4 linked regions of the Tamandua tetradactyla genome follow. The protein of the gene in region 2 interacts with the protein of the main gene of each other region in a pairwise test. Links are inferred from orthologs where the notes say so. Each region holds a gene or a part of one and is shown on either strand. Other genes may lie near its edges. The genes, in order: SERTAD1, CIB3, MEOX2 and KLF17.

Region 1 (7,838 bases), on a different chromosome or scaffold from region 2:
GGAGACTGAAACAGGCTCAAGAAGTAAAATACACAGTTGGTCCAAAGGTGATAAATGCTGTGGAGAAAAATAAAGGAGGAAAGTGATGGGGGTGATGGGGCATTGCTATTTAGAAGGGATGGCCAGAGAAGAACTCACTGATGAAGTGACATTTGAGTAAAGACCTGAAGGAGGTGAGGAGTGAGCTGTGTGGATCTCTGCAGGAGTAATGAAGCAGGCAAGGAAACAGCCAGTGCAAAGGCCCTGTGGTCAGAGTGAGTGGAAAGTGTGAGGGCCAGTGAGGAGGCTGGAATAGTACAAGCAAGGGGGAAGGGCCCCAGGAAGTGAGATGAGAGAGGTGGAGATGGGGGAAGTGGAGGGGTGAGGGGGGATGGCGATGGGCAAATCCCATCCGGCCTTGTAGGAGGATTTTAGCTTTACCATGAGTGATAGAAGCCATGGGAAGGTGTTAGGCAGAGGAAGGACTTGACCTGATTCACCCTTTAATAGACTGTTTTGGGCTGTCTTAAGGATAATGAAAGGGAATCACGTTAGTCTGTTAGAGTCACACTGAGGCCAGTAAGAGTAGCGCCCCCACTTTCCAGATAAATAAACCGAGGTTCAGAGAGGTCAAGCTCCCTCCCTAATATCGCACCCGTTTAAGCAGTGGCGCGGGAAGTGGAAAGGCTAGCCCTGCAGAGAGAACCTGCTCCCTGAGGGCAGAGTCCATGTCTCCCAACCTGTCCTCGCCAGCCGCCCGGCAGTGGGGGATGGGCCCGCGCTCGTCTGGGGGCGTGGCCAAGGGCCTGGCCCCTCCCACCTGCCCACCCTTCCGCCGTGGGCCGGCTGGCCGGATACCCGCGGGGCAGCCGCGGCCGGGAACCCCCGCCTGGCGCCTCCTCGCACTCCGGAGGCCGGGCGGGTCGGCCGGTTGGGGGCGGGGCGCCTCCACCCACTTTTTTACCTCCCCCCCCCACCCCCACCCCCACCAGCTGGCAGAAGCTCCTCTTGGGCCTGCCAGGCCTGAAGGCTTCGTTTCAGGTTTCGTTTCCCAAGGCCCGGCCGCTCCTCCTCCCTTCCCCCAGTCCTGTGAATTTCTGGCTCCTTCTTCAACTCTCTGGTCGCCGCTTCAATGTCACCTCCTCAGGGAGGCCCTTCCGGACCGCACTGGCTACAGAGTCTCTCCTTAGGCCTCCCTATTATCCCATTCCATTTTATTTTCTTCAAGTCACTGAACAGAAGAGGAACATAGCCTCCCGATTTATTCAATCTCCCAGGGTCTTCTCATTCCCACTCAAAATAAAAATCAAAGGATCTTCAAGTGGCGGAAAAGCCCGGGTGATTTCTCTGACTCCCTCCCCTGCAACTTACAGCCCAACTACAAAAGCCTTCTGCCGGGCAGAGGCTCTATACACTCCCACCTCAGGCCCTTTGCACCTGTTCCTCCCCCTGCCGGGAACACTCTTCCCCTAGAGCTTTGCTGCCCCTCTCATTCTCCTTCATCCGGTTTCTGCTCAAAGGTCACCTCTTCAGAGACCCTCCTGCGGCCACCATATCTAAAACTGCACACCCTGTCATTCCTCTTCTCCCACTTGGCTTTATTATTTTTCTTTGCACCATCACCTTCTAAGGCACTATACACTTTCTTTTTTAAGTTTATTGCCCATCTCCTTTCACTAGGGGTTTTTATCTATAATTTCACTGTCATACCTGCAGTGCCTAGAACTGTGTCTGGCACAGAGTAGGTGCTCAGTACATGAATATTTGTGAATAAATGAATGTACTTTTTTCATATTGATTTTCTCTTGCTACCTTTGCCCATGCATGAGAGGAGACAATGTGTGATATACGCCCATGGTCTACAACAGAACCCATGACTACTAGGTGTTCAACAAAGGCTGGTGAATCAAATAACTCCTATGAGTCCTTCTTCCATGTATGACCTAGAGCTAGCCATTTTCAGACTCCGAGTCTCATTTTCTTCAGGTCATAAAAATGCATTGTGGGGGTAAATTATGTGAATTTGCCTAGTAGGGGCCTGGTTTAAATTAGTATGTTATACTCTTTTTTAATATGAAAAATTTCAAGCACATAGGAAAGGAAAGATGAAAAAAAAAGTATACTGAACACCTCACTACCCTCCCACCTATATTTAATAATTGCTAACATTTAGCTCAATTTGCTTTCTACACACACATACACACACACTTTTGGCTGAACCATTGGAGAGTAAACTGCAGATGTCTTGCCTTCTACCCACAGCTCAACAGGCTTATTCTTAAGAGAAAGGACATTCATCTACAAATCATAACACTATTTCTTACCTAAGAAAATTAACAGAATACTATTATATCACCTCTAACAGTCAGTCCAAATTCAAATTCCTCCAGTTTCCCCAAGAATATCTTTAGTAACTGTGTTTTTAAATTCCAAATCAGGAGGATCCAATTCATATACAGATTTGATGGTAATAAAGAAATTACATAGTGCCATTTATTCTGGAAGATTTCCACCCCATTCCTTTCTCGTGTTTTCTTGACATTGAGTTTTGTGCTGATCAGCCCAGATGTACTGTAGAATGTCCCCCATTTTGGATTTGTCTCTGTTCATATTTAATTTTTCCTATAAGGTGGAAGTAGTGTCTAGAGGTTTCATGCAATGTGATTTATGCAAATAACAGTGAGACATGGGGGATGGTGTGTACCTTCTAGTGCATCCTATCAGCTGGCTCCCTGTGTTGGTGTGTACCGCTATTGGGGATCCAAAATTTCATCACTTGGTTAAGGTGGGGAGCACCAGAGCTCCCCATCATAAAAGGACATTTTCCCCTTTGCAGTTAGCAAATTACCTGTAAAGTGATGTTTTCGAGCCCATCAAGATTCTGTTCCCTTGTGTAGTGCTCCAGTACATCTCAGAGTAATTTGGACAGAGACTAGAAAGTATTTGCAAGGTCCCCTTGGGGGACTGGGAGAAAGGAGAAAATATTAAACTTCCCCATCTGGAGAATACCTGATATTCTTGCAAGAAGTGGGGACAGCCAAGTCAGGCTGAGCCCTCTATCTTGGGGCTCACCCCTATGAAAGTTATTCCTGCACAGGAGAAGCTAAACCTACTTATAATTGTGCCTGAGAGTCACCCATCTTTTATTGCTCAGATATGGCCTCTCTCTCTAAGTCAACTCAGCAGGTGAACTCACTGCCCTCCCTGCTACGTGGGACTCAACTCCTGGGGTGTGTAAATCTCCCTGACAACATGGGGCAGGACTCCCTGGAATGAGCAGGGACCCCGTATCATGGGATTGAGAATGCCTTCTTGACCAAAAAGGGGAAGAAAGAAATGAGACAAAATAATTTTCAGTGGCTGAGAGATTTCAAACAGTGTCAAGAGGTTATCCTGGAGGTTGTTCTTACGCATTATATAGATATTCCTTTTTAGTTTATGATGTATTGGAGTGGCTGGAGGGAAGTACCTGAAACTGTTAAACTGTATTCCAGTAGACTTGATTCTTGAAGACAACTGTGTAACTGTATATCTTTTACAATGTGACCTTGTGATTGTGAAAACTTTGTGTCTGATGCTCCCTTTATCCAGGATATGGACAAATGAATAAAAAAATAAGGACTAAAAATAAACAAATAATAGGGGGAGATAAGGGGCAAAAAAAAAAAGAGGGTAGATTGCAATATTAGTAGTCAATGAGAGGAAGGGGTAAGTGGTATAGGATGTATGAGTATTTTCTTTTTTTAATTTCTTTTTCTGGAATGATGCAAATGTTCTAAAAATGATCAGGTAACGAATGCACAACTATGTGATGAGATCGTGGGCCATTGACTGCATACTTTGGACGGACTGTATTTGCATGCAGTATCTCAATAAAAAAATTTTTTAAAAAGATCCCTACCAATTTTTCATCCAAAGGTTTCAGCACCCATTCATAATCCCTGCCTGAATTAACTACCAAAGTCAGCAACATTTTTGAGTGCTTTCTTTGGTCAGGAGTTTTATTGATAGGAACTAACATATTCCTTCCCAAAGTTTCAGAAATATTAGCAAGTGAGCTACCTGAAGAAGGTAAGTCCCACTGTTAGTTTATGGGACAAGAATTTAACTCCTGCCTACCTGTAGCCAATCCCCGTGTGTCCCCTAAAGAAAGGACACGTTGCTGTCTGCATTGAACATTTTACACAAATTATTTTATTTAATCCTCAAAACAATCCTCTGAGCCAGATGCTCTTATTTTTCCTCATTTTAAAGATGAAACTGAGACCCCAAGAGATGAAAACATTTGCTTAAGGTCACACAGTTACTTGGGGATTCGATCCCAGGTGCGACTCCAGTGGCATTCCTCTTTCCCTTTCTAACCACAATCGAGTCCAATTGTTCACCGTTTGCCAAGCGGACAATACGATCTTATTTTAGTTTTCACAACCCTCCAGAGGTAGGCAAGACGAGCCCTATTTGACAGACTGCGTGTGGCTCAGACAGGTCAAGCATTTTTCCAGGGTCAGCCTGGAGTAAGTTTAGAATTTGAACCCACCCAACCTAGAGTACAGACTCCTGTTGGGACTTGATGGGCAAGAAGCTCAGTTGCTGGGTTCGGCAGGTGCATGGGTAGATGCAAGGTACCTGCACTGAGATGCAAGGTACCTGCACTGAGACGCTAGCTTTCCTCCGAGCTACTGTCCGGCGAGGTACAGAGCCAACTCTCCTTCCCTCGGGCAGAGGTAGGCATGCGCCTTGAAGCCACCCTCCCCTCCCTTCCAACCTGCCCCTACAGACTCCGCCTACCACCGTCCAGGACCAATCCGAGAGGTGGAGGGTGGGGCCTCCACGTGAGTGGGCGGGACCTAAGGGAAGTCGGGAGTCTGGAGTCGTGAGCCGAAGTCAGAGCTGCGTCTCGCGACCTAGGCGCTGGTTGCTGAAGACAAGCGAGCGAGCAATGCTGCCGCCGCCACTTCTTGATTGGCCGCGGGTGGCTCCCTCTTCCTTCTGATTGGCAGCTGGTGAACTGGGTATGTAAATGAAGGGAAGGGGCCTGGGGACCGAAGGGACACCGGTGGCGGGATCGCTTAGCCGGTTTGATCCTCGGGTCCGGCAGGTGCGCGCCTGAGCTGCCAGGGATCGAGACTCGCGGGGCCTTTACGTGCGGTCCGCCCGGCCGGGCCGGGTGAATCACGCCGCAGCCCGGGAGGGGGGCGGAGGCGCCGGCTCCCTGGCTCCGGCTACGTGACTCACCCGCCCCCGCCGCCGCCGCCGCGGCTTCAGGAGGAGCCGCCTCCACTGCCTTCCGGAAGCGAACGAGAGGCGGGGAGGGCAGAACAGCCCGCCGGGGATGCCGCACGACCCCGAGCGGCAGGGAGAAATGAAAGCCAGGAGGCGAGACAGTGTCAAGGGTCCCGGGGTCCGAGGAGCCGGAACCCCCAGGGGAAAGCCGGACTGGCTGCCGCCAGGGGGCGCTGGAGGGGCGGGGTCGGAGGTGGGGGCTACATTCCAGGGGTTCCGGACTCTGGGGTCTGCGGGAAAGGGGGAGAGGACCCAGTCTTGAGTAGGGTGGGGGACCCTTTTAAGGTCCTGCTGGGCAAGGGTCTGGGGGCTGGCCCCTGCCTGCTGGCCTGGGTCAAAAATGCAGGTTGGGCCAGGGTTCCAGAATTCCAAGGACCCCCCCCCCCACACACACACACACACAACTCGCGGAGGGTATGTGTGGGTCCTCAAACTTCTCTCAGTGACCCCCCGACCCGATCAGCGTTTCCTGTCAAATCCTGTCCACTCTGCCTCCCCAATACATCCTGAGTCGGCCAACTTCCTTTCATGCCCACTACCCCCTTGTATTCCAGGTTGGGTCTAGAGGTCAGGGGTCCCCACTCTCCTGGTCCTCCGCGCATGTCCACCGCACCGCTCCCTTCCCACCACACTCAGCAAAATCCTAACTCCTTACGGTGCTTTCTGCGACCCAGCCTCTGCCTAAGGCCCCCACCTCATTACTGCCATATCACTCTGTGGGTCAACCACACTGACCTTTTAGGGTACAAGGCTCATGCAGCATCGGGTCTTTCTTTGCCTTCCTTGTGGTTCCCTCTTCCCAGAATACTTTCCCCTGATCCTTCCCATGGCTGACCCCTTCTCCTGCTGGACTCCTCAGAGGAGCCTTCCCTGATTACTTAAACCCCGACCCTGAATCTCTTAGTGTCTTCCTAGCACTAAATAATTTTCCTGTATATTTGCTTATTAATTTATTGTCTGACACATAGTAGACACTCAATAAATACTAGATTGAACTATGTGAAACAGCACTTGTGTAGGTTAAAAAAAAGATTGAATATTGGCCATTTCACACAGTTGAATGAAGAAATTAGTAATAGTTATTACTAATAGTACTTTTCTATATAGCAGGCACTGTTGCTTTTTGGTATATTACCTCATTTAACCCTTAAAACAACTCTGATGAAGATACTATCATATCACCCCTACTTAAAGGTTTCCTAAGGAAACCTAGGCTCAGAGAGGTAAAGTGACTTGCCCAGAGTCACACAGATGGCAGTTGTCAGTGCCCAGCCGGGGGTTTATACTCTTGATGCTTGCTTCCTGTTACTGAACGACCCCCTCCCTCCCCACAGACAATGCTGAGCAAAGGCCTGAAGCGCAAGCGGGAGGAGGTGGAGAAGGAAGCCTTGGCAGTTGACACCTGGTGGCTGGATCCCGGCCACACAGCAGTGGCACAGGCACCCCCAGCTGTGGCCTCCAGCTCTCTGTTTGACCTCTCGGTGCTCAAACTCCACCACAGCCTACGGCAGAGTGAGCCGGACCTCCGGCACTTGGTGCTGGTGGTGAACACGCTGAGGCGCATCCAGGCGTCCATGGCACCTGCCGCTGCCCTGCCCCCTGTGCCCAGCCCGCCCGCAGCTGCTGGTGTGGCTGACAGCCTGCTGGCCAGCTCAGATGCCGCCTTCTCAGCCTCTATGTCCAGCCTGTTGGAAGACCTCAGCCACATTGAGGGCCTGAGCCAGGCACCCCAACCCCTGGTGGATGAGGGGCCACCAGGCCGCCCCAATGGGGGGGTCCCACCTGGCCTGGGTGCCTTGGACCTGCTGGGCCCAGCCACTGGCTGTTTGCTGGACGATGGGCTCGAGGGCCTCTTTGAGGACATCGACACCTCTATGTACGACAGTGAACTTTGGGCACCAGCCTCCGAGGTCCTGAAACCCGGCCCTGTGGATGGGCCGGACAAGGAGGAGGCTCCAGAGTTGGATGAGGCTGAGCTGGACTACCTCATGGACGTGCTGGTGGGCACACAGGCTCTGGAGCGGCCACCAGGACCGGGGCGCTGAGCCACCCCCCACTCAGGGTTGGGAATGATTCTCTGGTATAAAAAATTGAGCCCGGTGGCTGGACCGATTCTCCTTGCAAAGACTCGGCTGACTTTTCTGGTACAAAGAGAGAGCCATTGGCAAGTTTGGAAAGACAGAATCCAGCCGTGGGCAGGTTCACATCTGTCCTCTTCTCTTAGCGCTGGTGGAGGAGTCTGGGATTTGCCCCTCATGATGGAATGATGGGGCCTGGTGGCTGGAACTTCATTGGATCAGGCCCAGTGCTGGGCTGAATCCCTTGGGGTCAAAGCCCAGAATATTCCTTCCCTGATGTGAGAAGAGGCTTCAATCAGTTTTTTTTTTTTTTTTTTGACATTAAAACCAGTCATGGGAAATCTTATGTCTGTGTGTTTATTTCTCTAGGCTAATGTGAGGGTGAGATAAAAATGTCCAACATGCATTGAGTAAGTACTGTGTATCTGGCACAGTTCTGAGCATCTGCCATGTCTTAACTCATTTAATCCTCATAACAACCCCATAAGACAGATATTA
Region 2 (7,232 bases):
CTGTTTGGAATCTCTCAGCCATTGACACTGTCTCCTTTCACTCTTCCCCCTTTTGGTCGAGAAGATTTTCTCAATCCCTTGATGCTGGGTCTCAGCTCATTCTAGGGTTTCTGTCCCACGTTGCCAGGAAGGTCCACACCCCTGGAGTCATGTCCCACGAAGACAGGGGAGGGTGGTGAGATTGCTTGTTGTGTTGGCTGGAGAGAGAGACCACATCTGAGCAACAAAAGAGGTTCTCTTGGGGGTGACTCTTATGCCTGAATTTTAAGTAGACTTGACCTAACCTTTGTGGGGTTAAGTTTCATGTGAATAAACCCCAAGACTGGGGGCTCAGCCTATAGCTTTGGTTGTCCACACTGCTTGTGAGAATATCAAGAATTCAACTTGGGGGAAATTGAATTTCTCCCCGGAGAACCCATTGCTTTTGATTGGTATTTATTAACAGTTTGTATTAGTGGACATTTATTATAGTTTGTATTTATTAACAGTTTGTATTAGTGTAACAAATTCCACTTTGTTACAATTGATGAAAGAATATTATTAATATTGTACTATTTGCTACAGCCCATAGTTTACATTAAGGTTCACTGTTTATGTTGTAGAGTACTATGTTGTTTCTTAACATTTTTTTAATTCTAGTAAAATATATACAACCTAAACTTTCTCCTTTTAACCATGTTCATGTACGCCTACACTTTGATGGTGTTGATTATGTTCACATGTTGTGTTATCATCACCACCATCCATTACTAAAACTTTTTCCTCTCCCCGAACAGAAATTCTGTACCAGTTAAGCATCCCCCACTCCCACCCAGCCCTGGTTAAAAACCAGGAAAAATCTTTCATAATCCCTGATAAATACATGTTCACGGCCACATGTAAGAAAACCAAACAGTACAGAAAGGGTCAAAAGGAAGAAAAGAAAAGGGAAAACCTACTTTCTGCTCCTCACAAAATGGTGAATGATTTCACAATCATTCTTTTCAACACAAAAGTGTATATACACCGTTATTTATCTGTGTGATGCCCTTTTTATCTCTGCCCTCATCTTTTCACACAACAAAATGTCTTGTAGCTCAATGCAAAGCGGGAGATGCGCGTCAGCTTCACCTCCTTCCGAGGTGCGTTTGTCCTCCAGCTGAGCGAACCCCACCCCAAATGAAGGCCATTTCACACCCACAAATCTTGTCCAACTTTCGCGAGTGGGCTGACTCTGTGGCATTGCTAGGTGCAGGATATATACGTTTGTGCATTTTGATTTGGAGCTGTTGCCCCAAATGTGCCAGAGACAGTTTTGTGTGCATCTTTTGTGGGGGTCAGGAGGCTTAAGGAGGAGGAGCAGGCATCCCCAGATGTAGGGAATCAGAACAGAGACAGCACAGTAGCTGCTGTCCCCAGTCCTACCGGCAGGAGACAGCAAGCGATCAGCCAGCCCTCATAGGCATACCCTCCGGCATTCGAGCTGGCCGAGGAATCCCTCGAGAAGAAAGAATGGGCTTCCTGGTATCAGGAGATGGCAGCTGCAGTACTTTCATTTTAAAAGAGAGGCGACCTTACCTGTGACAGCTTACTGAGAGTGTTGTCCACGGACCAGAATCAACTAGTTCCGAGAGAGACAGGACGGACTCAGCTGGGGAAAACTCTCCCCCAGCACCCAGCAGCCCGGCTCCAGGGATTAGGCCTGAGAGTGGAGAGACATCTCTTGCACTTCTGATGCTGTGTGTCCTGGAGGAAGTTGCTTGACCTCTCTGAGTTTCCCTTTCTTCTTCTATAAAATGGGGATGATTATAACAGCAACAACAACAAACACAACGGCTAAATATTTGTATGGATGATCTCATCTATTCTCATGGCCACCCTATTCTGACTGTATAGATGGGGAAACCGAGGCATAGAGAGCTACAATAAAACTGTAGCTTCTGACACTTAGCCAGCAGAGGTTTAAAACCCGGACAGGCCACCCTGCGGACCAGTCTTGAAAAAGTACAATGCAGTGCAGATGCAGAATAACATTTCAATGAAATCTGACTGCTAGCAGCACACGTGGGAGGGGTTCCCACATCCCACGTCCCTGCCCTGCCGAGCTCGGCCGAGGCCATGTGGGAGGAAGTGCCCCATCTGACTTCCAGGCAGAAGCTTAAAGAGGCAACCGAGGGAGGCCAGGTCTCCTGTCCTTGTGCCACCATGACGAGCAGTATTTCTGATAGAGCTGCCGGGATCCCTGAGTGAAGGAGAGCTGGAATAGAGCCCTTAGCTGGCCTGGAATGGATACACAGATCGTCCTCAATGACTGGCTCTTACCATATCACACAGCCTTCACTGTCACACTGCTTTCACACAACACGAGGTCATTTGCTGTCAGATGCGCCACTGTTAATTCATTATCACCGCACCCTCCCCTTAAGGAAAAGTTATCATTTCATTTAATTCCAAAAAAGAAGTTGAATGCTCATGAATAAGGTTGAGTTTTGGAGGGCCATAAACCGTTGAAATATCTAAGACATTTTAATTGCCTGAGAACCAGCCCCAGGGCCTTTGCATCTGCTGTTCCCTCTGCCAGAAACTCCCTCCCCTGTGCTTTATTCCTTGAGGTTGCTACTAAAATGTCACCCCAACGAACCTACCTTCTGTGCCTTTAATGGGTTTCGAGAAAGCAACTTAGTGCATGAAACTTATAGAGTCTTACTTTGAGCCCCAGGTATTCTTAAGAGACAACAGGAGTGATGTTGGTTGGGGTTTAGCAAACCATGGCAATCAGCGCTATCTAACTGAAACCACGTAACAGCAGCCTCCAGAGCAGCCTGTTGACTCTATTTGAGCCCTCTTGGCCACTGATGCCTTGTTTGATTACACTTCTTTTCCCTTTTTTGTCAGGAAGGCACTGTTGATCCCATGGTGTCAGGGCCAGACTCATTCCCAGAGTCATGCCTTATGTTGTCAGGAGACTTTCACCTCTGGATGTCATGTCCCACGTAGGGGGAAGGGCAATGATTTTCCTGGCAGAACTGGGCTTAGAGAGAGAGGCCACATCTGAGCAACAAAGAGGCTTCCTTCCTGGAAGCAACTCTTAGGCCTCATTGTAGGTAGTCCTACCTTCTCCAGTACGGAAATGACTCTCCTAAGGGCAAGCCCCCAAATCCAGGGCTTGGTCTATATTCTCAGGAGCCCCCGATGGTTGAGAAGGTACTGGGGTTTCCCAGATGAGAGAATGTAATAGCAGAACTTCATTCCTTTTTATGGCTGAATAATACCCCATTATATAGATGGATCACATTTTGTTTCTCTGTCCAACAATTGGTGAACATTTGAGTTGTTTCCACTTTTTAGCTATTATAAAAGTGCTTCTGTGGAATTCACGTCCAGGTTTTTGTGCGGACACATGTTTTTGTTTTTCTTGGGTAGTTATTTAGGAGTGGAATTGCTGGGTCATATGGTAACTAGGGGTTTAACCCATTGAGGAACTGCCAGACTGTTTTTCAAAGCAGCTGCCCTATTTGCAACCCCACCAGCAATGTATGAGGTTTGCGATTTCTCCACATCCTCACCAACACTTGTATTATCTGTCTTTTTAGTTTTAGCCATTCCAGTGGGTGTGAAGCAGTTGCTCATTGTAGTTTTGATTTTCAATTCCCTAATAATTAATTATGTTGAGCATCTTTCCGTGGGCTTATCGGCCATTTATATATCTTTAGAAAAAAATCCAATCCTTCATCAATTTTTTTTACATTTCATCTTCTTTATCAGAGAAATTCTGGATTTATGGAATAATCATGCATAAAATACAAGACTCCCATATGTCACTTCACCACCATCACCTTGCATCGGTGTAGAACTTTTGTTACAAATGACGACAGCGCATTTTTATGGTTGCACTGTTATTTAAAGTCCATGGTTTAACTTAGGGTTCTCTGTGCAGTGCAGGTTTTTTTTTTAGTTTTTGTTCTATCAGTACACATGCAATCTCACATTTCCCCTTTAGATCACATTCAGGTGTATACTTCAGTAATGTTAATTGCACTCACACTGTCGTATTACCATCACCACTACCAATTAACAGACACTTCCAACATTCCAATTAAGAATCAGGTACATTTTAAGCCTCAACAGCCCCTTCCTTCACCCTATCTGGTCCTCTGGTAACCTATGTCCTTGCCCCATTTGTCACTGTATTTGTCTTTTTATTGTCGCACTGTAAGAGTTCTTTATGTATTCTGGATACTAGCCCTTTATCAGGCTCATCCTTTGCAAATATCTTCTCCTGTGCTGAGGCACTTGGTAGGGGCACATCTAAATCTGTAAGAAACTTCCAATTCGCCTCGCAGGGGGCCTGAGCCCTTTGGCATTCCCACCAGCAGTGGACAAGAGCTCCACTGGCTGCTCATCGTCGCCAGCACTCGCTTTTGCCCCCACCCCTTTTTTTCATTCCAAGGGGGTCTTTTAAAACCTGATTGGAGCCACATTAGAGATGACGTCACACGCTTGGGTAGACGATGGTTGATGAGGAAGAACCGCAGAGGTCCAGGCCAAGGACATGAGGGCTGGGGGAAAGACCCAAGAGCAGTTTGGGGAGCAGGAAAAGACTGAGGAGATGAGGGGCACAGAAAGCCGACAAGGTTCGAGAAACTTCTGAGGACATGACAGCCAGGCCGAGGACATTAGACCTGCCTCCTGCCCCAGATACTCTGCCCAAGAGGATTCCAGATATTCATAAGGTAGGTAGCTGCTACATTGCATCTATCCTTTAAGAATGCACCTGCGCATTTGTCCATTAAAGGCTCTGACAAGTCCTGCTGCAAAGATCTCTGACGTTATTAAACTCACTGTTTTTCTAATTTAGACCTTGGATTACTTTTCTCAAGTTAGAACAGAACACTTATAATAATTTAAAAATAAATGACCAATGCACACCACAGGGACCTTTCCTGGCTTGTGTCCCCCAATGCTTAGAACTGGCTCACAGGCAATGGGCAATGAATACTTTTTGTGGCTGCGTTAATGATCTCATTATCCTCAATACGGCCCTATGAGGTAGACACTAGTATAATTTCCATCTTCCGAATGGGACTCAGAGAGGTTAGGCAACTTGCCCAAAGCTACACAGCTAAGGATGCAGAGCGCTGGAATTCGAATCAGGCTGTGGCTGCAGCGTCACCGGCCACCCTGCCTGAAAGCGCCCCCTGCCCAGGTGCCCCGGTGGCCATGGAGGCGGTCTCCCCATCCAAGGCTGCTCCCTGGGCCCCACCCCCCCTCGCCCGGTGGCCGTGGGCTCCGTCACGCTGTCGCCAGGGAGCTGGGCTGTAACTTGAGTCTCGCCCAGGCTGGGGGTGACAGGTTGGGTGGGCAGGTGACAGCCAGGTCACAGACATTTGCTCACACCCTCGTGAGCCACAGCCTTGCAGCCCGGTGGTCCCCAGGGCTCATTCCCGGGTCTCGGCATGGGCAACAAGCAAACCGTCTTCACCCACGAGCAGCTCGAGGCGTACCAGGTAGGGGCGACAGGCCCGCCGGGTGGCCGGGCCTGAGAGGCGGTGACAGCCTCCCTCCAGCATGGGTGTCCAGTCCGTGATGGGGGGTGTGGGCGGCGGGGGGTCGGGAGGAAGGAACCAGGAGCAGAACTGGGTCCCAGCCCCCAAATCTCTCCGCAGGACTGCACGTTCTTCACGCGGAAGGAGATCATGCGGTCAGTCCCGGGAGGCAGGGAGGGGAGGCCTGGGGACCACTTACTGTTCATTGTTGGGGAAGACCCGCTGAATGCACCCCAAGGCTCAGCTGCCAACGGGGGGTTTGGGTCGCAGCCCTGGGCAGTGGGTGGTGGCAGCTGCGGGGAGGCTGGGAAGTTGCATCTTGTCCCCTTGTCACGGCTTCCAGGCGGACGAGCGTGGATGTCTCCCAGGGCAGAGGGGAGCCACAGCGGGTGTGTGAGCACTGGGGAGAGGGATGGTTGGGGTTGGGGAGCTAGAATGACCTCCCTGAGGCTGGTGTGCAAAGGCTGGGGGTGCGGGGTGGGGGTGCTGAGGCTGGAGGCTGGGGGCTCAGGTGGGACCGCCCAGAGCTGGTCTTGGTGGTGGCGTTGGCACCAAGGCGAGGGGTTCAGGGAGGTGGCCATTGTCCAGATGTCCTGACCCATGAACTTGGAGCTGTGAAACCCAAGCTTGGCAGGGCTTTGTCTGCAGAGTGATTGGCGCCAAGGTCCCAGTTGTGTGGGCATGGGGCATCCATTATTGATGGGTGCACCATCCGCCAGCCAGCCCCATTGTCTGGGCAGGACACAGCTTGCAGGTCTCTTCCAGGTCGCCCTGGCCATCGTGATCAGATTACCAGTGGGGAAACTGAGGTTCAGACAGGGTCAAGCTGACCACAGGCCTCAGGGCATTTGGCCAGAGCCCCAAGGACATTTCATCTGCCCAAGCTCCTTGCTTTTCAAACAGATTTGAAAAGGCTCAGAGGGGGAGAGGGACCTGCTCCAGGCCACATAGAAACCCCAGCTCAAGTTGTCTCCTGAGGGGACCCTGGCAGGGGCTTGGGTGTTTGAGACTGAAATTCTGAGCTGCCATATAATCCAAGGGCTCCTGCACCCCTCAGGGACAATTCCTAGCATCCTGGGAACCCCCAGACTTATCAAGGGTGGTCTCTAACAAGGCTGTCTCTCAGCATTCCCCAGGGACAGTATGTCGTCACCAGGTGAGGGCATCATAGTGGAGAGCTAGCCTCGCAGTCTAGGCAGCAAGTGTGTCATTCAGTGCTTTGCAAAATGCCTTCATTTGCCCCCTTGGGAAGACCTGAATATTAGCTTTTTTACTGTGCTCTGCTCCATTACAAGAACTTTGCCTCCTGTTATGGAAGGAGGGAAGGAAGGTGGGAGGCTGGGGGCTCTTTAGAGGCAGAGTCTTGCAGACATTGTGTTGATATCCAGAGATTCACAGATTGGCTTGGATTCTCTGAATGTTTGGTATGAAATGATCTAACCCTAAGCTCCCTTCCTTCTGGTACCTCCCTCTGCTTGGTAAGCTCCTATGCATGCTTCAAAGCCCAGCACATGCCCCCTCCTCCAGGAGGCCCTGCCTCCTCCCTGGTTTGCTACTCCCAGCCCTCTTTCCTCTATTCCTGGGGTTCTCTCTCCACCTTGGCCCTGACCCAGGGGAGTGGAGGTGTTTGTGCCTGGCTCTGTCTGATTCAGGGATGTACCCAAGGCTCCCAGCTCTTAGGGACCAGCACCTCTCCGCATAGAGTAA
Region 3 (7,216 bases), on a different chromosome or scaffold from region 2:
CCATTCAAGCTATAGTTTATCAATACTTTATGTAAGTTATACAAACTTGTTTCTCCAGTTTTTTAGGTATCAGCTTCAGCACATAAGACTAGGTTTTACTTCGCTATGTGGTTATCTCTTGCCAAAAGGGAATACAATGATGAATTATCTAATTTTCTTAAGAAAGTTGTCAGTTAAATAATTTAATGGAACCATTTTTTAGATCCCATTTTCTCTAATTACCTCAACCAAAATAACATGTGTCTGTAGGAAAACTCAGCTTGACCTAAAAATCTTAGGTTAATACAGCATGCATAAAGAACAATCTATGATACAGGTTTCTCACAGCAGGAAGTAAAATGAACAGTAAAAGCTCCTAGTAATTGCAAAGTATTCTGATCAATCTGAACTGGGATTAGCTTCCCAAAGTTACACTGATACCAAATGGTCCATCTATGAAATGGTCCCTACATACTAAAAGTGGCCTTTTAGTGCAATTTATTCACATACCTTATAATCATCCCAAGTGTAAAATCACTGGTTCATAGTCTCATCATATAGCTATGCATTCATCACCACAACCGATTTTTGAATGTTTTGGATGGCCTTTTCTACTTTTATTCATATTCTTATTTTGGGGGGAAGTAATGAAAACGATAATGAAAAGTGGCCTTTTTTATTCCCTCTGATGATGATGGAAACCTTGTTACGTATTAGGCTTTTAACTCACTGTCTTAATAGAGTTTCACTTAAGGTTAAGAAATCCACTAAAATGAGTGACACTACCAGTAACTTTCTTAGATATAAGCTAAATCGTGAAGGAACATTAAAAGTTCACCCCTGACCTTGGAAAGTAAAAGCCAGATTTTGAGATTATGACCCAAGAACACATCCCATACTAAAGCAGAACAATCGACCCCATCGCTGCAGAGTGTGAAGTACGGGGCTCACTCATTGGCATGGGTGTGGGGGTCGCACCTACAGTTTTATAACCAATTAAAATTTTGCAACACTTCAAACCATTAGCTGTGATTACCTTCTAAGACTATTAAACCGATCCCACAAAGGGAGAAAAATATGCAAGTATTATATTAAACAAATGACAGCTTCGGAAAAGATGGAACTCAAGTTGCATGGCAGCTGCAGAAATACAACTTAGAACCTCCTTTATTGTAAACTCGATTTCAGAAGGATACAGATTGGTAAGAGCTTTTAGGAGAACTTGGCGTTTTTCTGGATTGCTACAATGAACTTGGCAGTTGTACCTTCCAGCATCCGAGTTCAGGAAGGCTCCTTTGCGTGGCTATTCAACACCCGCGCGCAGAAAAGCGCCTTCTGCGCCCATCTGCGCACAGGAGCCCTGGGCCCGCAGGGAGCCAGCACTACCGAGCTGCTGTTCGCCTCCAGTGCCTGCCCTGGATAACACTCAATTTGGGGAGGATTTCTTTTCACTTTCGAAACTCCGCGTCTTCACATTCGCACCACATGAATATGAACTACTATTATTGTCTTTCCTTCAGAGTCTGAACATCTATTTATTTACTTACATATCTGCACATTCCTTAATCTTCTAATTCCTATACTGTTTTCCTTCCCAAGCAAGGGGAAATTTTTGCCATTTGGAATAGGGTGCTATTTAAAGAACTCTGAAATCAGAATTAAGGGGGAAAAAAAACCTTGAACTTTTTTTTCTCATGCGCTCTGCCAAGTTCCATTGCAAGTTCCAAATATTGTGCAATAATTCGGAACTCCAGTTAACGGTGGGAAAAATCGAGCCACTCTGAGTGGGGAACTTGCAAGGGAGAAGTCAAAGGGTGGCACCCACTCGCAGTCTCCAGCAGACGCTGCATCCCGGGGACACTCCCTTTCCCTAGCCCTCCGAAGGAAGGACACGGTTCGCAAATCGATTTCTCACACAGACACTTGTCCTTTTTTTCTCGACCCTCTGGTAAACTAGTTGGGAACCTGAGAGAGCTCAGGGCAGCTGGCTGTCTGCGTACGTTCTGTCCTGGGAGAAACGTGTGCCTTTGGCCCCCTGCCTCCCCGCCTGCTGCTGACACAACCAGAGCAGCCCGGCTGGATTCGGCGGCGGGGACGCCAAGGAAAGACAGGTTGCATCTTTCGGCCGCTCCACTTTAATTGAGAGAAATCTTTGGTGGCGTTTCCCCGCCCCCTTCACAACTGGTGCGCTTACCTGAGCTGTCGCTCTTCCTCTTGCCGCCACTTCTCTTCTCCGCCTCCGCAGGCGACAGCGCCTGGCGGCCGTAGTCTCCCGGCGCGCACGTTGCACCCGTCGGGGTGTTGGAACCCAAACTGGGAGAATTGGAACACAGGACTGGCGGGCTGTTGCCCAGCTCCGGGGGGCCTCCGGAGTCCGGCTGGAGGCACAGGCTGTGCCGAGCCGCGCTCGGGGGCGAGGACATCTGCGGGAGGTGCCAGCTGGTCTGCAGAGCCTGGTGCTGCTGAGGCTGGTGGTGGTGGTGGTGGTGGTGATGGTGGTGGTGGTGGCCCCTGGGATGCTGGCTGGCGAACATGCCCTCCTCGTTGGGGTATCCCGCGATTATGCAAGAGGAGGAAGAAGTGGAGAGCTCGGGGTAGGACATGTGGTCAGATCTTCCATGAAGGGCGAGTGAGGACTGGGAGAACGGGTGCAAGCCTTGCGCCGCGGCGTGAGGGCTGCGCAGGCAGCCGAAGAGCGGGTGTTCCATAGCATGCGCGTCTCGGCTTCCAGGCGGAAGACTTCGCGAAGGTTCCGAACTCCACCAGCCTCTGTCGGTTTTCACTGGAGACAGTGGGGTTTTTTCCCCCCCTCCCAAAGCAATAGCAGCACACGCTTCTGCAGAGCGTGGATAACCCCGGCGCCGAGCCCTAGCGGCCAGCCTTCTCTACGCTTACACGCTTGGACCTGGGGGCGCTTCCCTTCGAACCACTCAGAGGTCTAGAGGAGGAGAGGTTCAGCCAAAAGAAGGTGGTCCCAGAGAACCGCTTTCAGGGGGAAGCGGCTCTGGGAGGTTATAAATAGAGTGTAATGTGAGCTGGGGGCTGGCTCAGGAGCCCGGCGCTGACCACAAGCAAACTCCCTCCAAACCGCTCGCTCAGTCAGCGCGGCGCGCTCGGAGCTCACTTCCTCCCGGGGCTGGGCCCCCGCCGCGCGCTCAGACCCGCCGCCCCGCCGCAGCCCCGACGCTCGGCTGCTCTGCGCTAAGCTCCCGGCGGCAAAGGCGCGTGACGCCAGCCAGCTCCAGGCCAGCACCCAGTGCCCCACTCGCCCAGTTCTCTTTCAGTGTCACGTAGGAACTGTCACCTGCAGGAAAAGCTGGGGAGGGGGGTGGGGCGCCCAGCCTTTGAGGAACACGGAAAGGCCGATAGGGTTGAGGGAAAAGGTGAGCGCTAGTTGGGCTCGTACTCTGAAACTTGAGTTTGCAAAATTTCTCGTGCCCTGCGCCCCGGACGCAACCGCGCCCTCCCCATCGCATCTGGTCCCGCCGGCTGGGTGGCGACGGGCTCCGACGCCGGGGCCGAGGTTGCAGAGGTGCGCCCGGCCGCGAAAGGCTGTCTTCGGTGCCTGCAGGAGAAGGCCTGGGGAAGGTGGAGGAAAGCGTGGGCCCGAGACATTGCAGACACACAGGTCCTGACCTCCTCACCTGCGAGGCCGGGTGGGGCCTCCCTTCTCCCCGCTCCTCGCAAACGCCCACCTCCACCCTGTCCTGGACCCGCTCAATTCCCTAAACCACTTGTCCACCAAAAACTTTTCCCGGGTCGGGATTATTCCGAAGCGCTCACGTCTCGGCCACTTGAGACGTTTTGATTATGTGCACATTTCCAGCCTTTGCCCTCGGGAGCCTGAGCCGCCCAATTCCCCTCTTGCAACCCACCTTCTCATCCTCTCAAAATAAATCAGCTGCTCGCACCCCTCCCTACCCTCCCCCCCCCATTATGGATCCATTTATCGAGAAATATTGCGTTCCAAAACCCCACTTCCCCTTCCCTAAACTTAAGAGCATCAGGTTTTACTGGTTATAATTTTGCATGCCAGAAAACTTGCCACCAGTGAGTACCGGCGAGCGAGGGCTGGACTCGATTTTCCTTCCAAAGAGGGCCAAGTGTTGCCTCTAATACTGCCACTTACATAGGGGACGACCCGGTGTGCTGGGGCCGAGTCTTGCACAAGACAAGCGAGCGGCGCGTCTTGAGCTGCCTGAAGTGCGGGTCCCCTGACACTTGTAGCATCAGGATAGCATCTGCGGTCACATATCTCGCCCGCGGCCTCGAGCGAGCCACTAGCAAAGGCGCCGGGTTATTTTCATTGTCTCAGGTGTCCAGAGGGCGGTGACCAGAACTTTGAAGCTGTTAATGAAATTAATGGGGACAGCAAACTGCTCCAGCCATCTGGTTTGAGTTATGAAAAAGTATTGATTAACCTTTAGCGGTGTCCCCAAGGCAGAACCTTTTCCCTTTTGCAGTCCTTCCAGCTTCAGCCTGACTCCTTTTTCCTTTTAAGTCCTACTACAGTATAGAGGCGTCGCAATAAACTTTAACATCCACGTGAAAGATCGAATTATTTTCCATTGCTTAGGGGTGTGGGGTGGGGGTGATCAGGAATCCTGAGATTTGTAAGCGCTGCTTTCTTTAACGGAAATTGAGCCCTATTTTGAGGGAAATTAGTTTTGCAGACTTGGTTTAAAAAAAAAAAAAGCGAAAACTTTTGTTCACCAGCTGCTCAGCTTTTCAGTCTCCTTCTGAGCTGGACCTGCTGCAAGCGTTTGACGGTAAGACTTCCCTGACCGATATTTCGAGAATCTAACATTGTTTTAGGCTTGGACCGGGGATGTTCTTCAGGTCGCACGTTTCTAAAGGTTTTAAGCACGCGGAAGACGGCGGCCGGGGCTCAGGTCTTAAGACTATTTCTTCTGCCACTCCCTATGTCCTTGGCTCTTTCATAGTAAAAAGAGGGGGTATATTCTTCCAATAACGACGGAATATTTTTTGAGTTTTTATTGTGTTTATTGTTTCAATGTGTGCTCTGATATTAAAAGTTGAAGTACAAAGAGCAACACTAAAACTTCCCAACTCCAGTAGCTTTTCTGTGGGTTCTGGGTGAAAGCATTAAAGACTTTAACGAAAGAGAAATTTATAAAATATAGTGCTGTCTATTAAAAGCATTGTGAAAAATGTCAGAAAAGACTGATTAAAGAAAAACTTGATCAACAACACCAATAATATCATCAATAATGATCCTTTTGGTTTACATTACCGTGGTTTAGAAGGAGCCGAGCAACTGAGAAATGAATGAAATTGAATTTAACCAGTGTGTTGCAGGTGACTAGCAACTAGCAACCACACAGACTTTTCACCTCCAGGAGTTGTCATGTCTCCTTGAACCTGTTGGTGATTGTGCTGGCTTTTTTCTCATTCAAAGTGTCAGATGTTAACAACATGTCCAGAAACATCTCTACACTCTGTCTCAGTCTCTGGAACTGTGCAGTCAGGAGTCTGGAGAGGAAAAATGTTTGAAAGACAAGGAGTCTTTTTTAAAGACACACAACTAAAACAATGCTCATAAGGAATGTCTTTTTATTGAAGACATAAAGCATTCAATGTCAATAAAAATTACAAAGTTCAGATTTCCAATGAAATACATAAGAAAAATTCTATTTGAAAAGTAAGTATGAGTTATAAAAAGGACTAAAATACTAATTACAAAGTATTGATGCATTTAAAAATTATATGACTTTTCTCTGAATTTCTAAATATATGTTATTACATAAAGTTTTTTTTAATCCTCATTTCATAGATTAGTGGGAACAAGATTAATGATTTTTACTTTCTAGGCTATAGAGAATTCTAAGATATTTATAATAATGACAGGAAAAATGTTCCTAGCATTTCCTATATGGCTGTTAAAGGGCCCCTCCATACCTAAAAAAAAAAAAACCCACTGTTGAAAGATGCCTTTTTACCTCTAATGGCTAATATGATCAAAATGGTAAAAATTATTATAAGATTTCTGCAACATTCATTTAAAACTATATATGGGAAAGAATTTATCCTATATTTACCATATATTCAAACATTCCTGAAAAAAGTAAAACAAAAAATATTAAAATTTCATGCAAGATTTTAATATGTTAGCCTGTTGTAAAGAAAATGTGTGTACGGAAAACATAAGCTGCTCAGCTCTTGTAGGAAGCATAATCAAAATGATTTTAAACAGGTACTTCATAGTTGATGTGTGTATATCTATTATGCCCCCTGCTTAAATGAAATGATACTAAATAGTGAAGGCAGAAATATTTTAAAATTAGGACTATTTTATTTTAAGGGATTAGAATGCATATCAAGCAACCTGAAAAATTTAAGTTACAGTTTATTTTATATTCATGGTGACTCCCGTAAGAGTTGTAATTCTTTTATTTGTTTGCAACTTGAGGTATAATGAGAATTAAAATATTTAAAGTAAAAATGATCTCCAGCAACAGGCATTATAAAACTATACTTTGCATTTTACCTGATAGGTAAATGTTTGCTTTTGTAACATATAGTGATGAAATATGAATTTAAGTGTAGCTCATTAAACTGAAACTGGAATTGGTCTCTGAAAGTGTTATTGAAGATAAGAATACTATTTCTGCTATACCTTCCCAAGAAATAACATTTATGGCCTTTAGTTGGTCCTTTTGAAGTAAGGCATTTTGAAAATGCCTTATATTTGACAAATACGTCAAACATCCAGTGGCAATTTATGTGTTTTATGATACACTCTATTTTTCAAAATAAGGAATTGCCTTTCTCTGGGAGTTATGCATTATAAAATTTAACAGAACAATTTTGCTTATGCATGTTGTTTTGTGATTTAATATACTTTTATTCATCAACTTTACATTAGCGATTATTTTTTGCATAACACTAATTGGCACTTTCGCAATAAAATTTCTTACATTTCTGCATATACAAGAAGTGAATATTTAAACATTTTTGAATGGTATAAGATAATATCCAGTTTACTTTGTCTTTTTAGTTTCTATCTCTTCCTACATTTAGATTTAAAATTCTTTCAAAATTGGTGACTTTCCTCAATTCATGTATCAAGTATCTTGTAATAAATGATAGTGTAGTAAGTATTAAATATAACTCTTTTGTCTAAAAGTCAAGTGACAAAAGACAACCTATAAAAATTAGAACTGCTTTAAAAATACTTCAGAAAACCAGCTTTCAATACAGATTAGGATATATAGTT
Region 4 (6,908 bases), on a different chromosome or scaffold from region 2:
CTGTGTCTTCAAAATCTGTTTTTCCCTTTTCTAACCTCATCTCCACCTTGGTCCACCATCCATCTTCACTACTGTCTTATTCAGTTTTCTCCAGCATTTCCTAAACCTGCCCAGTGCATTCCTGCAGTCCATTCTCAAAGTCAACCTGTTCGAAAATGATTTCATCAGCTGTAAACATGCCCTGAATCTGCTCCTCTTCTGATATTCTCTATCTCACAGAGCAGTACCAACAACCTCCCAGGAACTTAAGTTAAACATCTGGGAGTTTTCCTTGACCTCTTCTCTCCCATCACATTAATCCAGTGCAACACCAAATTCTGTCTATTCTTTTGCCTTAGAGTCACTCACATTTGTCAACTGCATTCACATTACTTGTTCATCTTATGTTTACTCAATGACTGTACCAGAACCTGTCGTGGGTTCTAGGGAATCAAAGATCAAACAGTGTTTCTCAAACTACCTGTGCTGAAGGATTTTTTTTTGTTCTTTTTTCCTTCCAAACCGTTATGGACCAAGTCTTTTGCAAAATAAAATAAAAATAAATTACTAGAAAAATAAAATGAAAAGGACATAGAGAATATAAGCTCCATTTTTTTCATTATTAGATTCAATAAACATAAAGTTACTATAAAATTGTTATAAAAGTTTCTACATGCTTCTCTCAATTTTGTATTTATCTTATCACAGACTGTTAAAGTTTCTAGACTGGCATCATCCATGGACCACACTTGAGTAGCACTGAAAAGAGAAAGGCCAAACATATGGGGGTGTGTGTGGAGGGGCTTAGAGTGAGAGAGGGAAGGCAGAAAAGGAAGACTGTTAAGCAAATAAATAATGACCACATCATCAGCCACAACACAATTAGTTGATATTCAGAGATGTGGAAGTATGAAGGAGGTACTTTGCCCAGCCTGGGTATTAGGGAAGGCTTCTAATAGAAAGTGATTCTGGAACTTAAATCTAGAAGGCAGGTAGGAGTTAGTCATATTGGGGAAACAAAATGTGGATTTGGAAGGATGCTCCAGGCAGAGAAGCAAGTTCTGGAGACACTAAACATATGGTTTGGGGGATTATGTTTCATAGGATTTGATGGGCTGTTTTTCTCTGAGCCTCAGCATCGGTTCCCACATGTATAAAATAGATGCTTGCTATTCTACCTGCTGTGATAAAGCAAGTGTCCTTGCTCTCAGCAAAGATTCACCTGTCCATTTCCTGGGTCTAACCCCCTCTTAACGTACCAAGGACTTTGCTCCTACAATGAAGCCTTATTTATGTGTTACAATCAGATTCTCTGAACTGAGACTCAGAATCAAGGGATTGAGAAAAACCCTAGAATGAGTTGAGACTCAGCATCAAGGGATTGAGAAAACCTTCTCGACAAAAAGGGGGAAGATTGAAATGAGACAAAGTGTCAATGGCTGAGAGATTCCAATCAGAGTCCAGAGGTTATCCTGGAGGTTATTCTTATGCATTAAGTAGATATCACCTTGTTATTCAAGATGTAATGGAGAGGCTGGAGGGAAATGCCTGAAAGTGTAGAGCTGTGTTCCAATTTCTTGACGATGATTGAATAATGATATAGCTTTCACAATGTGACCGTGTGATTGTGAAAACCTTGTGTCTGATGCTCCTTTTATCTACCTTGTCAACAGATGAGTAGAACATATGGAATAAAAATAAATAATGGGGGAACAAATGTTAAAATAAAATTAACTTGAAATGCTAGTGATCAATGAAAGGGAGGGGTAAGGGGTATGGTATGTATAAATTTTTTTTTCTGTTTTTGTTTTATTTCTTTTTCTGAATAGATGCAAATGTTCCAAGAAATGATCATGATGACAAATATGCAACTATGTGATGATATTGTGAATTACTGATTATATATGTAGAACAGAATGATCAAAATAGGAATGTTTGAGTTTGTTATGTGTTTTTGGTATTTAAAAAAATAAAATAAAAAATTAAAAAAATTAAAGAAATATCAATTAAAAAATGATTCTCCCTTATTGGAAGATACCTCTCAATTTATACCATGCCTTCCCTTCCAAATGCCACCTCATTTCTCTTTTCTCATTCATAGCAAAACTTCTTTGAAAGAGTTGTCTACCATGTTTCAACATCTCTACCTCATCATCTACTGTTCACTTCTCAACCCCCACCATCACTTCTATCCTCACCATCACTGTTTCTGTCAAGATCACTAATGACTGCCACCTTGCCAAATCCAACACTTATCTCAGCAATATTCGATGCAATTGAACAGTCTCTTCATTAAATACTTGTTTGCTCTTGGCTTTTCTTGAAATAGAGTCTCCTTGTTTACCCTTACCTCTTTGTTTATTCCTACTTGGTCTCTTCAGATGACCTCGCCCTTCTGTTAGGCCTTAAGGGCAGAGAGCCTGAGGTTCTGTTCTCAATTCTTCCTCTAATTATCTCCCTACTTGATATTATCCACTCCAAAGGCCTTATAACAACTATTTCTAAGCTGATAACACCTACATTTACAGCTCTGACCTCTTCCTGAGCAGTTTCAATAGAAAACTCAAAATCAACATGTCTAAAAGGAAATTCTTGTCCCACTGCCTCCAAATCTGCTCCTCTTCCTATCTTTCTATGTCACCAAATGGTATCCAATTGCCCAAATCAATAATCCAGGAGTCATCTTTGATTCTTCTTTTCCTCCCTGCCCTTTTCTGATACATTAACAAGTCCTGCTCTTTTTAATTCCAAACTATTCTCTATTCACTACTTTTACTTACCACCAAAACACTGACATCTGTTTCTTGGAGTACTCCTTTAGCTTTCTAACTGGTGTCCCTGCTTTCATCTCCCCATCTTAATTATAAGCCTCAAAAGAGTCAAAGGATTACTTTAAAAACCTAAATCAGATCATGTCAATTTCCTGCTGAAAATCCTTTAGTAGTTTTGCATCACACAGAATAAAATTCAAACTACTTTCCATGGTCTCCAAGGCCCTACACTCTTCTGTTTCTCCCTATCTGTCTGTCCCTATTTTATAACACACTTTCTCTTGCTCCCATCTCTGTTGTCACATGGCTTTCCTATTTTCCAAAATGTCAAGCTCTTTCTTGCCTCAGAGTTCTGCGATCTTCCCTTTTGGCATTTAGTTCTCAGTCACATTTTATTTCTTTTTTTTTTTTTTCTGTTGCTCAACACCATCTGAAATTATTTGAATTATTGACTTTATTATTCATTTCTTGTCTGCCCCTTTAGGATGGAAATTTCCTTGAGAGCAAGGACTTGTTCAGTCTTGTTTGTCATTGTATCTCTAGTTCTTAAAAACGGTATCTGGTCCATAGCAGGAATAAAGGCATTCCACTCTTTATCTGTGGAATAAAAAAATTATGCCCTGGTCTTCAGGTTGGACAGGCATAGGACAGATAGAGGTGTCCCGGCCGCACTAGAAAAGACCTGCATCTTCTGGAACGTAGGCCAAGAGTCCTGGTCTGGTGGAAGTGGAGATGGGAGGTCTCCGGTCTCCAGGGGCCCCACGTCTGACCCTGAGACCCTCTCCAGCCTTCTTCCCTCATTCCCCTACTTGGAACTCATGGAGACCTGACCAGAATCTGAAACCTCGGGATCCCAGGTCCCCACTTGGGCAAGTAGAGATGCTCATATTGACGCTCATATTGACGGATGGATGGGGTAACGAGGGCAGGGCAGGCATAAAGACTTTAAGAAGTGGTAACTCTGAGGTAACCTGTCGGTGACCCTACCTATTTTCTGGTAGGCTGGAGCAGGAAAGGTGGGATGGGCTGCTATTGGGTGTGACGGGTGGCGGGGGAGGGGCGCGTGGATCCTTGACTCCGCCCCCTGGAACTACGGGAACTAAACGCTGAGCGCAAGGATTGTGGCGTGGTAGTGCCTGGAGACCTGAGTTGCGTTGCTAAGGCGGTGGTCCCCAGCTCTGGTCTGAAGTGGGTCTGGACCAGCGTACGGTCCCGATGTGTAGCCGATCCGAGGCTGAGATGGAGCAAGAGGCCGTAGAGCTGAGCCAGTGGCAGGAGGTGGCCCAGTGCCAGCCCGTGGTGGTGAGTCGGGGCTTCAGCTCCAGGCCAGGGTGGGACACGGAGCCAGGAGAGAGAATCAGAAATCTAGGGGATTAGAAACTCAAGGGAGGGGGTTAGGAAGGCAGGAATGGCAGATCGGGTATATAAATAACATGTCATTTATTTAATTACTTAATATTTGCTGAGTATTAGTCTGTGCTGGGTGCTGCGGGTCAAAGTTTCCAGGAAACGTGAGAGGCAGGACAGGAAATTGAAGACAGCTGGAAGTGGGTAGGGAGAAAAATATAATTAAACATCTATTGAAAGCCTACTAAGTGCCAGGCCTTTACCAGGCACTGGGACTACAGTAGTGAATTTATTGTAAGACAAGATATTATATCATTTTATAATAAATACTTAACTCAATGGTTGGAAATGCACAAACTACTATGAAGGGGAAGTACAATGTCCATGGGGAAAATAACAGAGATGTTTGATGCAATTGTGTGGGTTAGAGAAGGTATCTGACATTTGGTCTGAAATTGAAGAACTGGGCAGGTGATGGTTTCCAGGCCATGAGACCAGAAATTCTTGGAGGAATTGAAAGATAAGACTGAGACCAAGGCTGAGATAATATTGGTAGAGTGATCCAAGGGGAAGGGAGGCAGGGGCCTCAGATGCCACTGAGGTCAAGGACCCGCAGTGCTTAATTTGGTTGTTATTCCAAGAGTAGTAGGAAATCACTGATGAGTTTAAGTATGAGCAGTCACAATTAGATTTGCATTTATTAAAGAGTACCCTGGGGGTAAGGGCAGGATGCAAGGTAATAGTTAGAAAGCTATTGTGAAAATCCAGGTCAAAATTAAAATGGTGGTCTAACTGGGGAGGTGAGAGTGGAGGTAGAGAAAACTGAATCGAGTCTAGAGATGTTTGGGAACTAGTCTCCCACAAGAATTAGTCATTAATTGAATCCAGGTGATGACGTAGGCAGCCAAGATAACTGACCAGGTTTCTGGCTTGTACCGTTGGGTGAAAATGGTGGTGTAGCTCCTGAAAGAGCAAAGGATAAAAAGGAAAAAAGTTAATGTTTATTTGTGTGTGAATTAAAGATGATCATGAGTTTCAGACAAAGACCATTTAAAATGCTTGTTGGATATCTAAATGGACCTGAGTGGGAGAGGTCTGGACTGAAGTTGTAGATTTAGGAATAACTGGAATATAAACAGAAATGGATTTATTGGTATGGAAAAGACTGGCCAGAGAGAGAGGAGTAAGAGAAACCTCCAAAGGAGACTAAAAAGGAAGAGGTCAGATAGGAAGGAGACAAGGATAGTATGTCAAATGTAGTGTTGGCAAAATCAAGGGAAATACACATTTCAGGAAGAGTGTGACCAACAGTCTTAGAAGCTCCTGAGAGGTCAAGCCTGAATGTATCCCTTTGATTTAGTGACATCGAGGTCATTAGTGGCCTTGATGTTTTATGAACGTTGATTCTATGGAGATTTGGGGGGTGGAGAAACAATGCAGGAACAATGAGGTGAGGTAGTGGTAAAAGTGCTGTGTTCAGACAACTCTCAGGAGTTTACCTGTGAAGGATGGGGTAAAAAAATAAAGGCCACTGGTGAGAGGTAAGGAAGAGGCTGAGCACCCAAAATACTCCCATCCGGTAGGCATTCATCTGATTCCTGTTCTATGCCTGACCTAATGTTAGTTGCTGAGACTATAGTGATGAATACCATAGGGTCTCTCCAACCTTTTTTGGGGTTAAAAAAGAAAGAGAACATTTTCTTACACTGTCAAAATGACATTATCAAACCTATCAAAATTAACTATAGTTTTTTAAATCATCTTATTTAATGAATAGTCCTTATTCAAATTTCCCTAGTAGTCCTAAAATTTCCTTACAGCCACTATGCCAAAATCAGGATCTAATCCAAGATGAGGCGTTGGATTTGGTTCTTACATCTCTGGATCTTTTTTAAATGAGAATAGATTTTTTTCATGACTCTGACTTTGCATTTTTCATGACCCTGAACTTGTAGAATGTTTCTCTTTTGGATTTGTCATATGGTATCAGTTATCTTGATCTTTTAATCCCATTTCACTTCTAAATAGGAATTTGGCCTAAAAGTTTAGCTGGATTTAAGATTTTTTTTTCTTTAAGAAAGGCATGGCAGGCTTCATTTCACATTACATATGGACGCACATCTGGCTTCTCACATTTGGTGAAACTAGGTTTGGCTTTTGGAAAAGAACTGGACTTCTGTCACTTTAGGCTCATGGATTTTTATAGATCAACATTTTTGATGCTCAAATTCTCACAAATTTGGTCAGTGAGAACTCTTTCAAGCCAGCTCCTGTATCCTTTTGACACAACCTAATCATCTTTGAAAGTGTCCTTATTTTCTGGTATGACAAGATATACTGAGCTTATTTATCCCAATCTTGTCTCAGAGTCAGGAAATTCTCCAAGGATCGTTGTTCCTTTTAGTGAGAGATGAAGTTAGAGAACAAAATCTGGACACTCGGGATTCCATTGGAATGATAATTGCTTCTATTGGCTATTTCGATTGACATAGCTAGAAAATATGTATTTTTTCTTAAATTAGGAATTTATATAGGATATTTCCAATTTAAATTTAGCAGGTTTTACTTCTGTGATTTTTCTGATGTATGCTGAAAATCTTGATTTTTCACACCATCGAGACTTATTTTTAAACTATTTTATCGTGAAAAATAACACTCAGGAAAGTGAATATAAATGTACAATTTTATGAATTATTATAAAGTAAAAACCTGTGAAACTACTGCTCAGTCCAAGAAATAGAAGTGTCAGCACCTCTAAGCTCCTTTCAGTGTTCCTCTATATGCTTCCTCCCCTACTAAGATAACCCCTGT

What was found.
Region 1: the proteins of CIB3 (region 2) and SERTAD1 interact in binary tests that used the Homo sapiens proteins (3 or more experiments, as listed by UniProt). The two-hybrid records come from large-scale screens. The link is inferred for Tamandua tetradactyla from reciprocal best matches to the Homo sapiens genes CIB3 and SERTAD1.
Region 3: the proteins of CIB3 (region 2) and MEOX2 interact in binary tests that used the Homo sapiens proteins (3 or more experiments, as listed by UniProt). The two-hybrid records come from large-scale screens. The link is inferred for Tamandua tetradactyla from reciprocal best matches to the Homo sapiens genes CIB3 and MEOX2.
Region 4: the proteins of CIB3 (region 2) and KLF17 interact in binary tests that used the Homo sapiens proteins (3 or more experiments, as listed by UniProt). The two-hybrid records come from large-scale screens. The link is inferred for Tamandua tetradactyla from reciprocal best matches to the Homo sapiens genes CIB3 and KLF17.

Annotation. Positions count from the first base shown.
Region 1 is NC_135342.1:23,657,776-23,665,613, forward strand, and holds the start of SERTAD1 (SERTA domain-containing protein 1), read left to right. Parts: upstream 1-4,825; 5' UTR 4,826-4,991; intron 4,992-6,596; 5' UTR 6,597-6,599; coding exon 6,600-7,307; 3' UTR 7,308-7,838. UniProt on the Homo sapiens protein: Acts at E2F-responsive promoters as coregulator to integrate signals provided by PHD- and/or bromodomain-containing transcription factors. Stimulates E2F1/TFDP1 transcriptional activity.
Region 2 is NC_135337.1:94,809,410-94,816,641, reverse strand, and holds the start of CIB3 (calcium and integrin-binding family member 3), read left to right. Parts: upstream 1-4,220; 5' UTR 4,221-4,634; coding exon 4,635-4,712; intron 4,713-5,645; coding exon 5,646-5,680; intron 5,681-5,868; exon of another isoform or gene 5,869-5,882; coding exon of another isoform or gene 5,883-5,914; intron 5,915-7,232. UniProt on the Homo sapiens protein: Acts a an auxiliary subunit of the sensory mechanoelectrical transduction (MET) channel in hair cells. Plays a role in regulating hair cell MET channel localization and function.
Region 3 is NC_135327.1:108,683,758-108,690,973, reverse strand, and holds the start of MEOX2 (homeobox protein MOX-2), read right to left. Parts: upstream 3,023-7,216; 5' UTR 2,688-3,022; coding exon 2,174-2,687; intron 1-2,173. UniProt on the Homo sapiens protein: Mesodermal transcription factor that plays a key role in somitogenesis and somitogenesis and limb muscle differentiation. Required during limb development for normal appendicular muscle formation and for the normal regulation of myogenic genes.
Region 4 is NC_135328.1:179,820,185-179,827,092, reverse strand, and holds the start of KLF17 (Krueppel-like factor 17), read left to right. Parts: upstream 1-3,891; 5' UTR 3,892-3,965; coding exon 3,966-4,052; intron 4,053-6,908. UniProt on the Homo sapiens protein: Transcription repressor that binds to the promoter of target genes and prevents their expression. Acts as a negative regulator of epithelial-mesenchymal transition and metastasis in breast cancer.